Linked DNA regions of Callithrix jacchus. The protein of the gene in region 1 binds, or shares a complex with, the protein of each later gene. Links are inferred from orthologs where the notes say so. Each region holds a gene or a part of one and is shown in the gene's direction. Other genes may lie near its edges.

Region 1 (3,651 bases):
GCCAGAATGTGGCAAAGCTGGGATTTTACTTATTTTTTATTTTTTTGGGTGGAGTCTTACCCTGTCACCCAGAGTGTGGTGGCACAATCTTGGCTCATTGCAACCGTCCGCCTTCCAGGCTAAGAGATTTTTGTGCCTCAGCCCCTGGAGGAGCTGGTATTACGGGCACCTGACACCACAGTCAGCTCTTTTGTTTGTTGTTGTTGTTTTGAGATAGAGTTTCACTCTTGTTGCCCAGGTTGGGGTGCAATGGCACGATTGCTGCCCACTGCCATCTCCCCTTCCCAGGTTCAAGCAATTCTCCTGCCTCAGCCTCCCAAGTAGCTGGGATTACAGGCACCCACCATCACGCCCTGCTAATTTTGTATTTTTAGTAGAGATGGGTGTTTCACCATGTTGGCCGGGTTGGTCTCAAACTCCTGACCTCAGGTGATCCACCTGGCTCGGGCTCCCAGAGTGCTGAGATTACAGACATGAGCCACCATACCCGGCCAAGGCTGGAATTTTAACTCATGTCTGCAATGAATGCCAGAGCCCAAATATCCTGTCTCCCCATTTACTGGCAGAATTTGTGGTAAATTTTCTAAATTTGTAAGAAGTCTGTTCAACAAATATATGCCACGTGGCTGCTGTTGTTTCAGGCATTCATGTTAGGCTGTAGTACAGCAGTGAGGAAAACTCACTGTTATTCCTGCCTTCATGTAGCTGACAGCTAAGTTTCATATTTTTGACCGATTTAATTAATTTTTCGGATTTTAATGTATGCTCTGAATTCCGTGCTGAGCTCTTATTTATTCATTGAACAGATATTTATTGGAGGCCCTTCATTTTTTTCAATGAAAGTGACCCTCCTGGGGTTGTTGCTAAGCTAGGAAAGGGTCTCCACTTTTTGAGCCCTCAGACTGAGGCAAGCAAAACTAGTAATTACATAAAACAAAGTGCTTTCAGGTACTGATGGCTGGTATTTGCTGAGTGATTTCTGTATGTCAGTCAGGCACTCTTCTGAGCACTTTATATGTATTGTTGCAATTTTCCCAAAAAAAATTTCATAAACAATTGAGATAGATATTCTTCTTGTAAATGAGGTGAAGTCGATTGCCCAAGTTCACACAGTTGTCTGGCCCTACTGTCCCTTATGTGAACAGCGGGCCCCTGAGAGAGCAAAGGAGTTGGGGTTGCAGGACCACTCTAGATTCAGGGGCGGCTCATTCTGGAGGCACCAAACACCGTTCCCAGCTTCTAGATGTGTCGTTCCAGTCCTCTGAAACAGGCCCCTGATTTGCCTTTCCTCCTGAACCTCAGGCTCCTCTCACCTGCCCCTTTTTTTCTTCATCCCTCAGTAAGCGAGACATTGAGTTACTGCTGAAACTCATTGCAAACCTCAACATGCTCTTGAGGGACGAGAATGTGAATGTGGTGAAGAAGGCCATCCTTACCATGACCCAGCTCTACAAGGTGGCCCTGCAGGTGAGAGCCCCCTCCCCACCCAGGGCCATCCTGCCTGATAGGTCTCATTGACAAACGGATATGTTGGGGTTCAAAACCAGCATCCAATCAGATTCTGTGAGCAAGATGTGCTGTTGATCTGTGGGAACAGACAACATGGAGCTCTAATGTCACTTGGGTCAGGAATTTGCACTTAAATATCATTCCTTCCATTGATCCAGCCATTTATTCACTCAACAAACGTTCCCTGAGCATGTTCTCTGTGCTCAGCCCTGGGCTAGGTGATGCTGGAGACATAGCGGTGACAAAGACAGCTTAGGACCTTCACAGTGCTTGTAACCCAAGGAGGGAGGCAGACCTTAATTAATGAATCACATAAATGTTGATTATGGACTGTGAGCGGAAGCAAACACTGTGCTGTGGTGTACATTAGCATTAATAAAATGAGTGAATCCGTTTTATCACCACCATCTTGTAAACTCAGCATCGTCACTCCTTTACGTTAAGACTTGAGCCTTCATCACCCTGAGTGGTTGCTGTCTGCATCCCCATGTGGGCAGGGCAAGGCCTGGCCACTACTGTGTCCCGTCTCCAGCATCACTCAGCACTGGGCTAGGGCAGAGCTGGAACTCAGGAACTGTTCTCCATGGTTCTCTGGGTATTGGTAGAGGGTGGTGGTGATTGATGCATTGTCTTCACCTCTTTGTCTCTTCTCTTCCTTCCGGGTCTGTTGGCAGTGGATGGTGAAGTCACGGGTCATTAGCGAGCTGCAGGAGGCCTGCTGGGACATGGTATCTGCCATGGCAGGGGACATCATCCTACTGTTGGACTCTGACAATGATGGCATCCGCACCCACGCCATCAAGTTTGTGGAGGGCCTCATTGTCACCCTGTCACCCCGAATGGCTGACTCGGAGATACCCCGACGCCAGGAGCATGATATCAGCCTGGACCGCATCCCTCGGGACCACCCCTACATCCAGTACAGTGAGTGCTGCCTTCAGCTGGTGCCCTTGATAGCCCTGCACCAGCTTCCTCTCCTTCACTCCTTTCCCGCTCCCCCTTATCTTTCTTGGTTTTACATTTCTGAAACTGTGTGCAGAAGTAAAGAGCCCTGATGCTGTGTTCAGATCAGAACTGCCCTGATTGCTCATCATGAACTTGGGCAAGTTACCTGTCTCTGTACTTCATTTTCTTTTTTGGAAACTGGAGACAATAACATAGTACTACTTTCACAGGTTTGTAGTGAAGTTTTATGAGTGTGAGCTAATCAATGCTAGCCAGTTTTACGATTTTCTTAACAGTAAATTATAAAAGTAGTACATAGGCCAGGTGTGGTGGCTCATGCACGTAGTCCTAGCGTTTTGAGAGGCTGAGGCAGGCCGATCATTTGTGGTCAGGAGTTCGAGACCAGCATGGCCAACATCGTGAAACGCCTTCTCTACTAAATAGACAAAAATTAGCCAGGCCTGGTGGCAGCCACCTGTAATTCCAGCTACTTGGGAGGCTGAGGCACGGGAATCGCTTGAACCAGGTTGCAGTGAGCCAAGATTGTGCCAGTGTACTCCAGCCTGGGTGACAGAATAAGCCTCTATCTCAAAAAATAATAATAGTGGTAGTATATATACACTCAGTGTCAAGCAATATGGGTTAGTATAGAGGAATAATACCCTCTCCCTCAGTCCTGCTTCCCAGAGATAAACACTGTTAAGAATATATTTCCTTCCAGATCTTTCCCGTGCAAATGTAGATATTTGTATGTGTATATGCATAGTGTCTGCATCTGTTTGCTTTTCTGTTTGCAAAAACAAGGCCATGTTTGTGTTTTCATCTGGGAGACATTAGAGTATGGTGGCTTGTGTCTGAATCTCAGCTCCACCATTGGATGTAGCCTATTGTCTCTGAGCCTGAGTCCTCATCGGTAGATTGGGGATCGTTACTATGGCATCTAATTTAGGATGTAAGTATGAGCATTTGGTGAATTAATATGGCTGGAATAGTAAACATTCCACAAATATTAGCTATTCTTAATGTATTATTTGACAACCTTTATGACTTAATAGTATCAGTGACGTCTTTCCCTGTGAGAGTCATGTTCAGTTGCTACACAATATTCCATAGTATAGTTACATTACATTCTATTAAGTAATAATGCTCTGTTGATGGCCATTTAGGTTTTTAAGCACTATTTCAAATAATGCGGCA
Region 2 (3,173 bases), on another chromosome or scaffold:
ACCATTGTGCTGGCTGCAGCCTCTCATGGGCTCCAGGGGTCTGGTTCTTGTTTGTTTTTGTTTTTTTTGAGACAGAGTGTATCTCTGTCGCCCAGGCTGGAGTTCAGTGGTGCAATCTCGGCTCACTGCAACCTCTACCTGAGGGGTTCAAGCGATTCTCCTGCCTCAGCCTCCTGAGTAGCTGAGATTACAGACACTTGCCACCACACTTTGCTAATTTATTGTAGTTTTGGTAGAGATGGGGTTTCACCATATTGGCCAGGCTGGTCTTGAAGTCCTGACCTCAGGTGATCCACCCACCTTGGCCTCCCAAAGTGCTGGGATCATGGGCATGAGCCACTGGTCCATATTTCACGAGTGGACCCTGTGTGGAGCCGGGCCTGTGGTCAGGGAGGGCGGGGAAGCACAGGCCGCCTTGTGCTGAGCTGGGGACGTACCAAGGTTTGACGCTCAGTCCTTACTCAGCTCCCAAACCAGAGTCCAGAAACCGCCAGGGCTGGGCCAGGGGCCGGCAGAGCTAGGGACTGGGACACATTGACTGCCTGTTCCCTGGTTCTGGAGCCTCTGACCTCTGTGTCACCTTGTCCCAATCAGATCTGAATTCCAGAGAACAGGAGACCTGCCAGCCCGTGCACGTGGTCAACGTGGACATCCAGGACAACCATGAGGAGGCCACCCTGGGGGCATTTCTCATCTGTGAGCTCTGCCAGTGTGTGAGTACCGGGCCTGGCACCGTGCCGGGCAGAGGCTCTGCTGGGGCAGTGAGGCCTGAGGCTGGCCCTGCTGTTGGGGCGGGGTCTCCTGCTCAGCTGACCTGTGTTGGGGTACCTGCTGGCGGCTCAGAGAGAGCTGTCCCCCAGCTTTGGAGTAGGAGACCCCCTTTGCCCTCTGCTCAGCTGACAGACGCAGCGCAGTGACCTGCCCAACACAAGCTTAGGGCCTGGCACTGCCTCCTCCCTGGGGTGGACTCATCGCGCCTCAGCCAGCAGGCAAGTGGTGCTCCTGGATGCTGTGCGGTCGCAGGTATGCCCCACGTGAGCCTGGAGGCTCCCAGGGCGTCTGCTGCCAAGGGCTGTATGTCCACAGTCTGCCCCTGGACTCAGCCTTTTGCATGCCTGTCTTCCCCAAGACACCCTGAGGGGCCAGGGGGCACCCCAAGGGCTTCTGCAGCTGCGCTGCTGCCTTGCTGAGGTGCTGGGGTGTGAGGGGAGGGCCTGCTGGGGAGAGCCCCACACACCGACCCGCCTCTGCCTCTGGGATCTGTGAACGAGAGAGGAGATGGTGCGGTGTGGAGGCCCCGAGCCAGGCTGCCTGCGCTGGGAGAGGCTGCCGCAAGGGCGTGGGCTCCTGCCTGCCTGTGCTGCATGGTTTCTGGTCCTCACATGCCTCACGGCCCAGTATGGCTGGAGTGCCAAGGATGGTGCTGGTGACCGCCTGGTAGGAGGGAAGGCCACTGGAAAAGTCTCATCCCAGAAGTGGCTGCTCGATTTCTGCTCGGTCACGTTGGCCAGAGCTGAGTCACAGGCAGGCCACTCCTCACTTAAAGGCACTGTGTGCTGCCCAAGGTTGGGGACCAGGGGACACTGGCAATGGCAAATGACAAGCAGCCAGGGTCAAGGCCTGTGTGCTCAGGAGCCCAAGGTGCTTACTCCAGGCAGCAGGCCTCCGCCAGGGGCTCTGGTAGGTGGAGATCAGGATGCTCCAGTGACCGGGCTGCCCCTGCCACAGGGCACGGGTCTGGGTCCTTGCTGGCATTTGGGAAGTGCTGCGGTGAGGCTGTCTGGCTGTGCTGTGCATGAGTGGACCTGGGCCTGGGTCCCGGCTTCCCAGTCTGCTCTCTGAATCCAGCTCCCTGCTCCCAGCTTCAGGCTCGGTGGGGGCCAGTGGGGAGGTGAGGCCTGAGGCTTCCTAGGAACCTCTGCCCTTGCAGCCTCCAGCCATCCTTGTGAGGCAGCAGCAGCGGTGCAGGTGGGGACCTGTCTGTCACCCAGCTTCCTGGCCCAGGAGGGGGTTTCCCTGGTCATCCAGGTGCTGCCTGGGAGCAGACGGGAGGGCCGGCGAGGCCCTCACGGTGGTCCTGTCCTTGCAGATCCAGCACACGGAGGACATGGAGAACGAGATTGACGAGCTACTTCAGGAGTTTGAGGAGAAGAGCGGGCGCACCTTCCTGCACACTGTCTGCTTCTACTGAGCCGGGCGCCCCGGCTGCCCTCTCCAGCTTCCTTCTATTCATACTTTTTCCTTCCTGACGTTTGTTTTTACTTACAGGTGTTCTGCTGGTAACGGTAGCATGTGACACGGGAGGAGAGGTCCAAATGCCACATTAAAGCAATCAAGTCTTTTCCTTCCCATTTTTTAGTGGGATATTGATTATAGTTTTTTTCTTTAACCGAAGAGGAAAGACAGCAGTTTGTGTTAACTTCCCTGCTGTCCCCGTGTCCCCGTGCACCCGCTCCCTCCCCCCTTCCCACCCACGAGATGTTCAATGACCTGGAATTGTCCAATAAATAGATGCTGCTGTCACCTGTGCTTGGTCGTGAATTCCTGGCCCAACCCTGGCCCTCCGACCACTGCTGGGGAGGTGTAGCTCAGACCTGGGGTGGCTGGAGCCTGGGCCGACCCCGCCCTGTGCTGCCTGAAGTAGAAGCCAGCTGCTCCCACCAGCACTGCTACCTGTGGGGGAGCCACGTCCCAGCTCGGCATGGAAACTCTCCCCTCCCCTGACCCCCCACCTTGGTCGGCTGTCCCCTAGGCCACCTTCGAGGGAGGCTGAGCCAGGAGGATCACTTGAGCCCCGGAGTCAGCTGCAGTGAGCCTGGATGGCACTGCAGCCCCCAGGCTGGGCCCAGGCACTGCTTCCAGCTAACTTCCTGCTGCAAGGTGGCGGGGGCTCCTGTATCTGAGACGTGGTCACTGATTTTGGTTGAGTTTGGTCCCATAGCAGTGTGGTGACCACTTGGGCCTCTGAGTGGCAGGTGACTCCCTTGAGGATTCCAGGGGTCACCCCGTCCCTTCCCTCTGAGCCCCCCCCCATGGTTCCATGCACCCTGGAGACATGTGCAGCCCCGCACCTGGCTACCCGGGGAGACGAGGACGGAGGGTGGAGCAGTGGTGCGGAAAGAGCCTTGGCGCCCCTCTGGGCCAGATCGGGTTGGGACTGGCGTCCTGGGACC

Evidence for each region.
Region 2: the proteins of SYMPK (region 1) and SSU72 are in contact, whole or in part, in a crystal structure (PDB 4H3K), measured with the Homo sapiens proteins. The link is inferred for Callithrix jacchus from reciprocal best matches to the Homo sapiens genes SYMPK and SSU72. Residues at the interface, in NP_004810.2 of Homo sapiens: Val123, Lys127, Leu131, Gln135, Asp175, Asn176, Asp177, Gly178, Thr181, His182, Lys185, Glu188, Pro204, Arg205, Arg206, Gln207, Ser250, Ile251, Thr254, Thr255, Asn262, Ala290, Ser292, Gln293, Ser295, Ser296, Lys299, Asn300, Leu303, His304; in NP_054907.1 of Homo sapiens: Glu113, Tyr116, Asp117, Val120, Asn124, Glu127, Gln128, Glu129, Thr130, Cys131, Gln132, Pro133, His135, Asp167, Glu169, Asn170, Asp173, Gln177, Glu180, Thr186, Phe187, Leu188, His189, Thr190, Val191, Phe193.

What each region holds. Positions count from the first base shown.
Region 1 is NC_133523.1:40,002,886-40,006,536, reverse strand, and holds part of SYMPK (symplekin), read left to right. Parts: intron 1-1,340; coding exon 1,341-1,467; intron 1,468-2,183; coding exon 2,184-2,433; intron 2,434-3,651. UniProt on the Homo sapiens protein: Scaffold protein that functions as a component of a multimolecular complex involved in histone mRNA 3'-end processing. Specific component of the tight junction (TJ) plaque, but might not be an exclusively junctional component. May have a house-keeping rule.
Region 2 is NC_133508.1:39,659,823-39,662,995, reverse strand, and holds the end of SSU72 (RNA polymerase II subunit A C-terminal domain phosphatase SSU72), read left to right. Parts: intron 1-594; coding exon 595-713; intron 714-2,089; coding exon 2,090-2,191; 3' UTR 2,192-2,523; downstream 2,524-3,173. UniProt on the Homo sapiens protein: Protein phosphatase that catalyzes the dephosphorylation of the C-terminal domain of RNA polymerase II. Plays a role in RNA processing and termination. Plays a role in pre-mRNA polyadenylation via its interaction with SYMPK.